Linked DNA regions of Arabidopsis thaliana. The protein of the gene in region 1 binds, or shares a complex with, the protein of each later gene. Each region holds a gene or a part of one and is shown on either strand. Other genes may lie near its edges.

Region 1 (8,251 bases):
TATTTATTCGCTAACAATTTACCTCAGAGAACTATCGTCCTTTGGCTGCGAAGATGATGGAGTATCGTGCTGAGAAGATTCTGCTGTGGGACTAGGAGCACTAAAGTGATCAGGTAATATGTTTAGCTTCTTAGGAGTACCATCATCCATGAATTGAAACGACTCCAGAACCTTCCACTAGAAAATGAATCAAAGCTTAGCCAGAGATGAAACTACTCTAAAACTCTCAGCTTGTAGTACATTGATTCCCCAAAAGAAGTCGAAAAAATCACATAGTTAAAAACTTTTTTGTCCATTCAAGAGATGTCATCTGAGCATGATCTAATCTAGATTCTGATATGAGACAAACTCCTATATGAACTTTAGCATTCCATGAACATTATTTAATCTCCCTAAATGACTTGTCTCTCAGTCTCTATCTTATGCTTATTCTTATCATAGATCTAATCCACAAGTATGTATGTATCATCACTTGGAGAGATATATAACTACTAAAAATCCTTATTCCTCACTGAGGATCAAACATACCTCTTTATATATCTTTCAACGCCGAATTTTACAATCCCACTTCACCAGAAATTTTGATATCCCTTGTGAGAAATCAGCTCGCTGTAAAAGAAAAACAAAGTTCAGCTTCTACAAAAAGAAAGAGGACGAAAATGAACTCTTTCTTTTTCCCATTCTAGATTTTATTAGCTCAAATTAAAAACAACAGAATCGAATTTTCTGGAAACCCTAACAAAATACAAAAACATTGAGCAGAAATAGAAGCTCGGAAGTCGGAATCGAATGACGGGAACCTCGAATAATTTGAAAAAATTGACTGAAGAGAAGATCGAGACCTTGTTTTTACCTGATCGAATGTGATCTCTGTATTCAAGGGAAAGTGTTTACGCAATTGGTTTTTTGGTTGAGTGCTTACTGCTTCAGCAGGAAGAAGATGTTGGGTTTGGGAATTTTACTCATAAAGAAACTTTAAATTTGGTACCAAAAAGACGCTTTTATCCCCCGGTTAGGTTGCGTCAGCCAGCTCTACCCACATGGGCATTGCTGCAGATATTACAAGTTTTGTAATTTGTTAACGAATGTTTGTAAACTTTTGACTAATCTTATCTACAATATAATGAATTTATCGAATCAATGTAAAAGTTGTTTTCATTCATGCTTAATACATTAATTGATCAAAGTTGCCAACTAAGTATTTGGTGATGCCGATGAGTGTAAAGGACAGCCTAAGACAAAAGTGTATGTCTAATTATGATTTGGGAGTATGGGATTCCAATTATTAATGTCGTTGACCCAAATGATTTATCTTCTTCTTGCTGCTTTTTTCTTAATAAACAAACAAATCCACATTATTAGCATTTAGCAATATGTTTAATTACATTACCATTGTTTTTAATCTAGGCCCATATCTCTTAAGAATATTCAAACTTGGTCCAGGTTAAACTTATGACAAAGCCCAAATGTTCCTACTCTTTCTCCTAAATCATTATTCCAAACACCGGTTACGCATTAACCGGTTCAGGTCCACTGGTAATTTGGAAATAGATAGAACTCATCTAACTGAAATCATGATATGTGGTCATTATAACAAGCGAATCAATCACACGCTTCTTCCTTCCTCTTCCATCTTCTTCATATCTCCCTTAGTCACCTCTACTCTACTCTGCAGGCAAAAATAGTTATGGCGACTTCTTCGATCACTATCCCGACCATTAGAACTCCGATTCATCGATCAAAATTTCTAGGCCAAACACATCAATTTTCAACTGTAAACCGGTCGGTTTTCCCGCCTCCAAAACAGCAGTCAAAACTGTATCAAGTAAAGGCCATGGGTAAATTCAATCTATGGGAAGTGATGGGAGGAAGAGGATTATGCAACGGAGAGAAAGGTATTGAGAAGGAGCTCCAGAGGAACATTGAAGACGAGCAAGAGACATCAAAGGCTGAGAACAACGAGACAGAGAGAGAGAGCGATGACAGTAACTTGTCTTTTAAAGTACCTGAAGATGGTTTCGAGAAAGAGATGATGGGTCTCACAGGAGGATTTCCCGGTGGCGAAAAGGGTTTAAAAACGTTTATCGAAAAAAATCCACCACCTCCTCCACCACCACCACCTGCAAAACAAGGAAGCGATGCATCCGCGGTTGCTACAGATAAGAAGCCGAAAGCGCCCAAGCTACCCCTTCTCATGCCGGGGATGATTGCTATAGTCAAGAACCAGAACAGTCCGTATCACATGTATTGTGGAATTGTGCAGAGGATCACTGATGGAAAAGCTGGTGTCTTGTTCGAAGGAGGAAACTGGGACCGTCTCATTACTTTCAGGCTTGAAGAGCTTGAACGAAGAGAAAAAGGTCCACCGGGTAAGAATCCAAAGTCTTGTATTCTCGAGCCTCTTATCGAACAGATGCAAAAGGAAGAGGCAGCACCATAAGTGATCTTCTCTTCTCTGTATGTAAGTTCCTGTGAATGTATATGTAACGTACCTTTGCGTTTTAGGCTACAATATTTCTGACTGGTTCTAAAAGAGCTTCATCATGTGATATAAAAAAAAGAATAAACGATGAATTTCAATCATAAAGCACTTAATAATAGAGATTCAAATGCACTCAATCAATGATGAATCAGTATAGAAGTTAAAAACTGCAATGGAGTAGTTTTATTGTTATCATTGGTTGTTGTAAACATCAACCATATCAGTTTCTTCTTGACTATCGAGTATATTCTGTAAATGGTAAAGATGAGAAGTGATCCACCATTCTTGTCAACAGATCATGTTGAAATGATCAGATGCAGCCTCCCAACTGTAAAAAAAATTCAGAAAAGGATAAGGAAGTTAGAAACAGAACAATATTATTAAATCATGAAAAGGGTTCTCTCAACTTGTAATTGGTCACATAATTATAACTTAGTAGTTGGTCACACATTATACTGTTAGATACATGTTCATCTAAGTGTTGTTATACATGTCAAAATGAAGTTACATACCAAAATGGCTTCCATTTCTTCGTTTGAAACTGGCGTGCGCTTTGGCTGCGATGATGCCTTCCCGCCAGTAGTCTTTTGGATGTTGTTCAAATTGGAGAAGAACAATGTATCAGCTTCATTTGCCACCTGACTCTTTCCCTCTGAAGCTGCAATGCCAGAAAGTAAATCGCATAACAAACAGATGATTACCCAAACCAAAAGCTAAAAAACATAAGAGCTTCTCTATAATGATTCGAGATTTGATAACAAACACGATTCGATTCAATGGCTAAACAAATCTGTGTATCCTTTGAATCTAACTATGTAAATGCAAATCAATCAGAGCGAAATAGATCGGAAAGCAAAAATTCACAGCCAAATGAATACAATCTCATATCTGATTCATGAAAATGAAACCGTACACAAAAAAAATTCGAATCAAGCGAGAAAAAGCCGAGCAAAATTGTGGAAAAAATAACATAGATTCTGTGTAGAGAGTTTCATGGATAATCGAAAACCTGAAGGATTAATATGTCTCTGAGGGAATTTGATGCGAGGAATCCTCTTCAAACCGTGAACTACGTTCATCTTCTTTTCGCTCTTTCGTTCTCGTCTGTGTACCAAAAGGAGAATGTTGACGACGGCGACTGGAAATTTTCTCTCTCTGTATTTTCCCGAACCTTCGGGTTTATTTTCAAAGTTTCTCCAAAAGTGGGCCATTTTTTGTGGTTAGGCCCAGATAAGTCTATATGACCCATTTAAAAGCCTCACAATGTTCGTTTCTCTGTTGGGACAAAAAAAATCCCTCTCAAGTCAAAACCATAAATAAAAATCAAACTAGGAATTTCTTTTTTGTTTTTGACTCAATCGTGTTTTTTGTTTGAGTGCCATTAATTGCCATAATTATGTTAATCTCAGATTCAGACTGAATGTTTGATAGCAAAGGGTAGAGACTAAGAGAGAACCAGGACTTAGTCAAGCGTAAAAATCTTTTTGGGTGGTTGGTCGTAATCCACCAAAATTTGGTAAGCTTTCAACGCGTTATCTCAATAAAAGTATTAACCACTTCTTTGTTTCTCTCTATTGTCTACACTAAATAATATATACGTTTCTATAAAAAATCCTAATAAATTGATAAAATATTTACTAATTTCCCAACAAGATATGTTTATTTTTGGTATCATTTAAAACATGAGTCCGGCCGAAAAAAAAGTTTATCAAGTTAATTGTCTATATGTGTTTTCTAGTCTGCCTTATTGTGGAAATCATTCATTTGCATTTCTTCATATACCTTACATGTTGAAAAGAATTTACCATCTTATTATTACTCAGCATTTGAGTCATAGCTAAGAGAAGAAACAGGCAATGAATGTATCGTCTGAAAGAACTGTATCAGTGGTGCGGGTAATGCAGCCTAGGGTTGGGAACTGGAAAATATGGTGGGGATTGTGGTGGAGCTGACTGGAACATACCAGCACCAGTGTATGGTGGTGGTGGTCTTCCTGGAAAAAAACTAGGAGGAGGGTATGGTATGGGTGTTGTGAAGCCAGGCACTGCTTGTGGAGGAGGATACACCATTGGAGGTGACATTGCCGCGTTAATGAAAGGCCTGGCATTGCCATTTTCATTTCCTACTCCTCGATATTGCCAGTTTGGTATCGCCATAGGCTCAATCTTTGTGTTCTTGCTTCTCTTATTTCCAAAACACATTAGAAGACAACACTTTGTTGGCTTCTTCTTTTTCTTCTCCATTGTCTTGTTTTGGTTTTGTTCCGGGGTTCTAGGAACATGGGAAGAGTAGTTGTCTCCAAGAAAAGAGACTAGTTCTGCCTTTTTGCCCCATTTCGTAAGCTTATGAAGCAATGTTGTTGGGTTGGCATCACCTGTGACTGTCAAGAGCCCTTGTTCTGCGTTATACTCAACTGTACTCACCCCTGTTTCGAAAATAATATTAGCTAGAATATTTATAACAACACTATAGCTTTAACAATATTTCACTAGTGGATCTATTACCAGAGACATTTAGCAACTTTCTCTTTGCTTTTGTCTGGCAGCCTTTGCAACACTTGATTCCAACTCTCAGAACGCAAGTCTACAGTTATTACACATAAAAAAAAACTCGTTAGAAAACTCTTAAAGGAGATGCAAAAACCTCTGGTGGTAAGAGAGAAATATACTCGAACGGGTGGAGATAGGTTTGCCATTGCATAAGCACCTTTACTTGAAACTCTAATGTAGAAGACGACTATAAATATGAGATAAGTTACTTTCAAAAATGAGTCCATAGACGTTTTGATATATTGCTGGATTCGCCTGAATTTATACAACTTTCCATGTTCTCTTGATATTGTACCTTTCAAAAACAAAAACAAAAATCTAAATGTGATTTCTTTGTTATTTTATCATCATAAATGACAACGATTAAAAAAACAAGTATGGTTCCACAAACTTGGTATCTTCATAATCAAGTGTAACGTCATTTGTTGAATATCCACGTACGAAATCATCTCCCTATACTAGTAACTGTTCCTTTTTAAAAATTGAGAAAACAATAATAGAGGATTTGAACTTTCTAGTAATGGAAGATACTTAGATACATACTTGTTTTGGGTGTGTATGAGTTTCTTAATTCAATTCATCTTCCGATTTTGAGTAATGACCAAGATCGTGTTTGTTATGCAGCCTTACTGCTGTGCAAGGCTTTCTTTCTCATATCAAGAAGCGCTTATACAAAATACTGTCAATTTTCCTCGTTTAAAACTCGACTTGACCTAATTGTACATTGTGAATAGGTTGGTTTTGGACGAACGGACTTTACGCCAAATTACATAAAGAATCTGTTATCTGTGACAAATATACACTTGTTTTCGTATTTGTTTTTTATCTTGGTTTTGTAAATATTATTCAATTATTTAGTTAGACCAGTTCAAAATGAAGTAATTGACCATGTCATATGCCGCCAGTGGCACGGCACCAATTTTTTTCAGTGGAAAGTTGGTTTTCTTTTTGTAAAAAAATATATGAAAACGTCTTGTAGTTGATTATTCCGCTAGATAATAATTAAAAATTGGATAAAGATGACCGATTTACTTAATGTCATTTCCAGAAGAGCAACATTAGAGAAAACTTTAAAGTCATGGTAAAGCTTATTGACTGATTAATGATGCAATAGAATCACTTTTCCTTGGTTTACCTTAAATTCATCAATAGACTATGGTTACATTCACATACGCAGATACTTATACGATCGTTGGTAAAAACTGATTATCTCTAATTTTTACCTTCAGATCTCTTACAATTTAACCAGTTATCTTCAATTCAATATAACCTTCCCGTAAATCAACATCGACTGTAAATTAATGGACTTGTCAATTGTTTTGTATTATTTGATTATGCTTATAAGATATTAACGTAATAGATGGTTCTTACACTTTTTGCATAGTAAAGCAAAGCAAACTTGAATAATTAAATTCTACTATTCTAGTATCCCACGGCAAAGTGACGTCATCTTCTTACCCCAAAGCACACTTCACTACGTGTCCGAATAATGGTAAAGTTGGTCGCCTATATAATTCTCTGCCCCACGAAAATTTATTATATAGAGAAAAACTTTCAAGATAACACAAAACCTTTCTCTCCCTATTTGTTGAAGAAGAAGAAAAAAAAAGAAAATGATGGATTCTCTAGCTAAATGCTTCAACAGGCTTCAAGAAAGGTACGACAACGTTCTAGAAGCAAAACCTATCTACAGAGACGACTTAGACATAACGTTGCCTCTGAACGAATCAAAGGAGGTTTCAGTAGAATCGACCAAAAAGTCTCGGTGCTTGCAGAGAGCCAAGAGGATTGACAAATCGCTGAGGTTTGAAGAAGGCGAAGAGGAAGAAGATGAACAGAATAAAAAGCCTCTGGCTAAGCCACGTAAGGTTGTGAGGTTTCAGTTAGAGAATAATAAGATCTTCGAGCCAAAGAAGACGGTGAGTTTTGATGATGATCACGAACTCAAACCAAAGGAGAATCCTCTGGAAGAAAAAGAGAGTTTGAAAATGGTTGAAGGGAAGGAAGAGGTCGTGAGGGTTAAGATCAAGATGACAAAGCATGAAGCTCAACGGTTGTTGTCGAAATGCAAAAACGACAGCGTTTTAAAGTTGGAGCATCTTATGGACCAGATCGCACACGTCCCTGTTCATCAGCTTCAAGTCGCTATGGTGATGGTTGGTTGTAATAATGAGCGACAAGGAAATGGCTGCTGGTTATCCCAGCTGGAATAAGTTAATCTTGAGTTTTTCTATCAAATTTTGTAGTTTTAGAGTAGAAACTATATAAATTTACGTTTGTATATATATTTTGTAACAGATTAATAGAAGTAACATGATTTTGTGGAATTTTTTTTGTTGTCGTCTCATAAATAGTAATGTTTCAAAATTTTGACATTAGTATATTCCAAGGCCAAAAAAAGGAAAGTCAGAAACAAAGCATAGAATTAACAAACCATGACACGAGTATAATCCAATTCCAAGGTATGGTAGAGAGAAGTTGATTGCACAAATTCGTAAAAGCGAATGATTACTGATTCACTTTGAATTGTGAAGTCTTTGTTAATTATGTCGTTTCTTTACTCAATTTAGGGAGTTAGGTTATTTTTTAGAAAACAAAATTGTGGAGTTAATTAAAGCTAATGTATCAACCTTTTACTGGTCTTTAAGATCTGAGTTTTTACAAGTTTTGTTATTATTGTATTCATATAATACTATTCTGTTAAAGAAAATGTAAATAGTGATTAAAATCAATTTGATCATCTACTCTCTTTTTCTATATGTCCAACGAGACAGGACAAATCAGCTTGGTCATTGATTACGGGTAGATAGTAGACTTTGATGATCATTTTTGCTGGCCGTATAAATTAATTTTATAACAGTTATGCGTTGTTCGTTGTGGGTATGTATCAACGTACGAAATGCACATTGGTGAAAAATTTAGATCGATTGTGATATATGAAGACTTAACAAGTTTATACTAAACTACTAATATTTATTTATGATGACAAATTGAACCTTACATGAAAGACGAAAATGAATACATAATTTCGTTTTTTCTGAGGATTTTCTCTGGGGTAAATAAGCCTTTTGCTGATCTCAAACACACTGAGATAAAATCTCAGATGAAAAAATATCCCTCGGTAAAAAAAGGGAAAAAAATCAGCAAAAGGGCAAACTCCCCCACAAAAAATCCCATTTTCATAAGAAAAATAAAAGACTTCAAGATCTCTAAAACGAAA
Region 2 (6,420 bases), on another chromosome or scaffold:
AGAGGAGAAAAGAGAATGGCCTAAAAAGTTGGAGAAAATTTGAGAATTTAATGGGAAATTTTTGAGTGAGAGAGAAAGAGAGAGGGAGAGAGAGACTTAGCTATTGAATGTAGTTAGGGGAAATGGGAAATATTTAAGGAAAAAATATGGGTTTTTAAGAAATATACAAAGAGAATAATGTTAGCAAATAAATTGTTCAAACTAGTAAGACATCAAAAACATTTTCTGTTCAATCTAGTCAAGCAATTTTGTTTAGGACAGTACTATAATTTTTTAGTCCATGTATTATTCAATATTATTATTTATATTATTTCTATTTTTTAGAAATGGTAATTTAGAATTAAATTGTGAAATTGTTTTCATTTTCCAAATAAAAAGGCTATTAACATTAAAAGAAAAATGAAAACATGTTAACAAATGAAAAATCGAAACTAAAACTGGATAAAATAAGTTTTGTATTAGAGAGGGAAGATGCAACTACCCCAACGAAGCTTTTAATGTTTTTAGACAGTTGAGATTTGACACCTAAGAGACGGCGATGACTTTTATCCCAATTGGGGGCTTTTAATTTGGCCGCGTTCTATGCAATTTACTCTTTTACCCTTTCGTTGACCCGTTATCTTCGAAACTACCCTCTTTATGTGCACAACTTGAAGACAGTTACATTTTACGTGGCCGTGTGAACTTGTGTAAATTAATCATATTATATGATTCATATATAGATGGAAAATTAATAAGTGAACCGAAATAGAAGTTTGTTGAACCAAATATGAGTAATTGTGTGGGTTATTGCCATTAAAACTAGTCCATCCATTTCATGTTCTTTTGAATGAAATTGAGCAAGTCTTATAAATACCACTTAAAAAGGTTTTTGTAAACAAAAAATGGCATACATGTTCTAATTGGTCTACTAATACCATTTTTAATCCAATGTAACTTAACTAACCATCCCTTAAGTGAAAATTAATCAGATAGTTAATGTCATATTTTTTATGTTTCAAATTAAGGATGTTCAAGATTTTTATACAGTTGGATATCAATTATAAAGAGTCCCATTTCAAAACCCGCGACTAGATGATGAGCGGAATCATCGACCGGCACAGTCCCAATTCAAAACCATTTTGCAGATAGAGAATCATACATTCTCTGTCACTCTTCTATATTAATACCGGTTGACATTGCAGCTGCAAACAAAGAAGAAGTTTGAGTTGTGGTGGATATTTTCAGAAAAACCAATTAGATATAAGATTGAGGATTTTGCTCATCATAAAATAATCTATAACTTAAATGTAGTCAAAGGAAAAACATTGCACTTTCTTTATCGCCTACTACTATATTTATTGTGAATAAATTTTAAGATAATACAAAAAAAACTATTGAACCTCATCAGAAACTAATTCACACTTGATTTTTCCTTTTTGACCAAACGAATCAAGAAAAACATTGCATTTTCACATATGTTATATCATTATCAAAGAGGTTGTAATTTCATAAACAAAAGTCTATATTTTATTTTTTACATTCTTTTTTCGTTAAAAGGCTTATAAAAGTCTATTATTTACACTTTACAACATAGTATTCACTTAAATATTTTCATTATTCTATCTAAAACTAATTTGTATATGAAATCATAACAAACAATTAAAAATACAGTTCAAAACACCAAAATTTGCCCCAAAAAAAGAAATCCAAAATTTGATAATCGTTTCCGATCGAGTTCTATTTGACTTTGTATTGACTTGCTTTGGTCTGGTCTCATCTTTAAATACCACGTTCTAACCATTCTTCATGATTTTATTCCCGCGGCTTTGGTGAAAAACGTTTAATTTTCTTAAAATGATGTTGTAGACAAGAAAACTTTGTGTCATTATCAAGAAAATAAGAAATGATGCCATTCTACCAACTCTGAACTTGAAAGCCGAAGAATCGTCACAGATAGTTTTTGTCGTAGATGTGTCATAACGAGAGAAACTACGGATCATTTGTTCTTTACGTGTCCACACGCTCGCCAAATATGGAGAGCTTCGAACATTCCCCTTCCGAGTCTATCAAATCCCCAGGTGCATTATGAAACAAAAATTAAAGAGATTTATGAATTTCATAAAAATGCAGGACAACATACAATGCAAGGGCAGCTACCTATCTCGATCCTTTGGAGAATATGGAAAAGCCGTAATAAGCTAGTGTTCCAACGAAAACAGAACGATTGGTGGAGAGATATCAGAGATGCTACAAATGAAGCGGAAGAATGGATCACAAATGGCTTATGTGCGCAAGTTCCCACTCCGAGTACGACTAATGGCACAACTAGGCAGTTTCAGAGTCAGTGGCAAAAACCACATATGGGATGGATTAAGTGTAATTACGATGGCAGCTTTGTGAATCGAGTTCGTGGCTCTACGGCAGCTTGGATAATTAGAGATGATAACGGCGTGTTCAAAGGGGCTGCTCAAGCGACAGGTGCGACCGTTTCCTCAGCCTTTGAAGCAGAATGTCAAAGCCTAATTCTTACCATGCAACAATTATGGATAAGAGGCTTTAGAAAAGTAATACTTGAAGGCGACTGCAAGCTCCTAGTCAATGTTCTGAATGGAAGAGGCTCAAGATTTGATGCTATCAATTGGATCCATGAAATCAAAGTTTGGAGAAATAAGTTTGACGCAATCAAGTTCACGTGGTCACACAGATCAACAAATCAACCTGCTGATATTTTAGCGAAAAACCAGAAACATGCTCTGTCTTCATACATAGTTCATAGCTTTATCCCATTGTGTATCTCAAATGCTCTGTTTTCAGACTACGTTTCCTAAGTAATAAAAATGAAGTTCGTGTTAAAAAAAAAAAAAAAAAAATGATGCCATTAACTCATATCATAAGTTCATAACCCAAAACTAAACTATCGTTTCATGTGTACTAACTACTTGTGAGATTTTCACAAGTCAATAACATGCGTGTGAATCTTTAACGCGTGCGTGATAAGTTTTGTATTTATATCATCATTTGGTATGTGTCAACACACAATTTGGGGAGAGTTTGTGTGGTAAGTAATGCAAAAATATATGTTTGTTATATAACATAGAACTGATTCTAATTGCTAAGAAAATTCCTACCAAACGAAGCAATTACGTTCAACAATTATTCTTAGAAGTTTGAAGAAACCATTCTCTACCACTCCACAATTCTTTCTTCTTCATTGGTTTTACAAATTCTACCTTTTCAAGTCATTCTTAAATCTTAAATAAACAAAACCAGTTTGAATTTTTTTTCGTAGTTGGTAGAAAAGTGTGTTCCAAAATGAGTTCTTTAGAAAAAAAATATTTCCAAAATGAATTATGATTTTTAATCTCTCTGCACCTTTAGTTATATCGGTAAGATATCTCAAATTCTTCAAGCAAATTATGGTACATATTTTCTATAGATAATATTGAAGAAAAAAGGAGCTTAACTAGTGTTGATTTCAACTATCGGAATCAAATATATATTTGCATTTCATTAGACACTAAACCTTTCAACAAAAAAATAATAATAATTCAATAAACACTACATGTGTAAGTGCATGTCACATGGATTACAAATCATTAAGCTAATATCTTCGATGAATTAAGAAGATAAGTGGATAACAAGTACCTAACCGCAATAGTCCATAAATTAAAACATTAATGTATTTGTCGTTGAAAATTTGGCCGACTTTTATTTGTTATTCTAGTTTCCACATCAAAAATGTTTGTACTTCGTAGCAATCCATCCACCTAAACCCCAAATCTTAATTTATATTTGTTGCGTTTAAATTTGGGTGAGATTTGATTCTAAGTAGTTGAGATAAATTGATATTCTATTCATTAGTAAAATGATAGAGAAATTGGTTTATAATAATTTTACCCTAGAACATGACATGATATTGGTAACCATTAATCAAAGAAAGAGCAAAGCATTTAATTTACCCTACTCTCCAACCACTCCAGCCTTTATTAGTTGCAGTTGGGAATCATTTCTTTATGATTCTTATGTCATTGTCTCCTAAATCAATGAAGTGCCTTGACCTTGTTACTAATTCGAACATAGCAAAGCCAACTACATAGATCCTTTACAAAGTTCTAAAAACAGGTTGTTTAGGCGTCTAGACAAACAAAACCATTTTGTACGATTCAACAAATTGGTCCATAGAATGTTATTGATCTTTCTTGTTTAGGCATTCGATAAATCGGCTAATACATTATTTTTTTGTTTTGCTTTTTCCTTATTAAAAATATGCAAAGTATTATGATGTTTAACCTGAACTGAATTTTACATTTAACTGGATATAGGAAAATATTGGGTTGAATTTAATAATTAAGCAATTGTCACGTAAATCAAATTGGGCTTAATATATATTGTTGATTTCAGCAAAGACAAAGTTGGGCCGTTTCAATAGTCTTCACGCGATGTAAGCGTTCACTAACCAACTAGAGAAGACAATCAAATGAATACGTTCCACGTGACGCTTACGAACTTGTCAGTCACTTTGGTAATATGACAGACAGTAACCAGTAAACTACTAATCTCTTTCGCTAACGAACACACAAAAAAAAAAAGAACCGTTTTTTCTTTCTATGGCTCCAAAACTCTGAGACAGAGCAAGAAAAAGATAAAGTGAGTGAAAAAATGGCAACGGTCACGATTCTCTCACCCAAATCGATTCCAAAGGTCACTGATTCCAAATTCGGAGCTAGGGTTTCTGATCAGATCGTCAATGTCGTAAAATGCGGCAAATCCGGCCGGAGATTGAAGTTAGCGAAGCTGGTCTCAGCGGCTGGATTGTCACAGATCGAACCAGACATCAACGAAGACCCGATTGGTCAATTCGAGACTAATAGCATTGAAATGGTAAAGATTCAATTGATTTTAAATTCATAATTCTGCTGAAAGTTGTTTCTGATTGGTTAGCGCTTTTGTTAATAGGAAGATTTCAAGTATGGATATTACGATGGAGCTCATACTTACTATGAAGGAGAAGTTCAAAAGGGTATAATTTTGGTTTCTCCTATTGATTCTTGTCGCTGTTTCGATTTTAGAGCTATAATATTTCTTTGTTTGATTGATTGATTAGTCTTCTTGGAAATGTTTCTTAGGAACATTTTGGGGAGCAATTGCTGATGACATTGCTGCTGTGGATCAAACTAATGGGTTTCAAGGTATGAATTTAACCCGCTTTTTAGTGCTTTTTATGTACCGCAGATTGATTGAAAACTCGCGGTTTTTTTATGTCTGCAGGTTTGATCTCTTGTATGTTTCTTCCTGCTATAGCTCTTGGGATGTATTTTGATGCTCCGGTAACTTCAAAATCTTTTGCTTGCTTCCAAAATTTATCATTACTAGTTTTATCGCTTTTGTTTTGTGGAGGACGTACAAGAGATTAGATAATTAAGCCAAGTATGAGAAGAAAAAGAATCACCAGTGTTTGTGTGTGTGTGTTGCAGGGTGAGTACTTGTTCATAGGTGCAGCGTTATTCACGGTAGTGTTCTGTATAATAGAGATGGATAAACCTGACCAGCCACACAACTTCGAGCCTCAGATATACAAATTGGAGAGAGGAGCTCGTGACAAGCTCATTAATGACTACAACACAATGAGCATTTGGGACTTTAATGACAAATATGGTGATGTATGGGATTTCACCATTGAGAAAGATGATATCGCCACACGATAAGATAATGGATTGTGATCTCGTTATAATCATGACTTTTGATGTAAACTGTTTTATAAAATTGATGAATGAACGGGGTACAATGTGTATAATATTGATTGTTCATTCTCTTATTTTTCTTTAGTACCATAAAACCTAGATTCTCATCTTGTAGTGTTAGGTTTCTGTTCTTCACTATATGTTTTTTTAAGATCTAAGTACCTCGTATGGACCCAACGAGTTTCCATACCCATCATTAGTTCATACAATGGTGGATAAACCATACAATTTGAGGTTGACGTATGCCACACGCTAACTTCATCCCCTGGTCCAAACACAACAATATAGTGTTCCAGTATTGTGGAAGAGTCCGAGGAGCTAAACACACCTTCGAGTTCTATCGAGTTGGAACATCAAGTGACAAACCAGCTCCACTCCTAATCCCTAGTCTCTCTACAAGAAAATGCTTTAACGTATCTCTGACACTTTCTTTAATATTGTGCAAACTATTCGTAAGTTCCATACCAGTTTTTACTATGATACTAGATGAGTACCCACGCTACGCGTGGGTTTGTTTTGAAAATTGTTAAAAAATATTTAGATTGATTGTTAGTTTTGCTAATTTATGTTTATTTTTGTATTGTTAATGAAATTAGATCCATATTATTTACAATTTTTATGGTTAGATTCATTTGTAACTCGAAATATCAATTTCTAATTTTCATGTATAAAGCTATTTATAAGATGTTAATATTTG

The links.
Region 2: NdhS (region 1) and PnsB5 share a complex: the UniProt entries of both Arabidopsis thaliana proteins name them as parts of the chloroplast NDH complex.

Annotation. Positions count from the first base shown.
Region 1 is NC_003075.7:12,414,782-12,423,032, reverse strand, and holds NdhS (NAD(P)H-quinone oxidoreductase subunit S), read left to right. Parts: upstream 1-1,568; 5' UTR 1,569-1,687; coding exon 1,688-2,440; 3' UTR 2,441-2,619; downstream 2,620-8,251. Other genes in the region: AT4G23895 (Pleckstrin homology (PH) domain-containing protein), read right to left, coding at 23-150; AT4G23885 (uncharacterized protein), read right to left, coding at 2,793-2,810, 2,995-3,140, 3,492-3,561; AT4G23882 (Heavy metal transport/detoxification superfamily protein), read right to left, coding at 4,366-4,907, 4,987-5,065, 5,151-5,326, 5,423-5,480; AT4G23880 (uncharacterized protein), read left to right, coding at 6,645-7,244. UniProt on the Arabidopsis thaliana protein: NDH shuttles electrons from NAD(P)H:plastoquinone, via FMN and iron-sulfur (Fe-S) centers, to quinones in the photosynthetic chain and possibly in a chloroplast respiratory chain.
Region 2 is NC_003076.8:17,579,367-17,585,786, reverse strand, and holds PnsB5 (NAD(P)H dehydrogenase 18), read left to right. Parts: upstream 1-4,511; 5' UTR 4,512-4,641; coding exon 4,642-4,863; intron 4,864-4,938; coding exon 4,939-5,002; intron 5,003-5,108; coding exon 5,109-5,171; intron 5,172-5,250; coding exon 5,251-5,309; intron 5,310-5,456; coding exon 5,457-5,687; 3' UTR 5,688-5,920; downstream 5,921-6,420. Other genes in the region: AT5G43755 (non-LTR retrolelement reverse transcriptase-like protein), read left to right, coding at 2,015-2,060, 2,227-2,460, 2,560-2,810. UniProt on the Arabidopsis thaliana protein: NDH shuttles electrons from NAD(P)H:plastoquinone, via FMN and iron-sulfur (Fe-S) centers, to quinones in the photosynthetic chain and possibly in a chloroplast respiratory chain.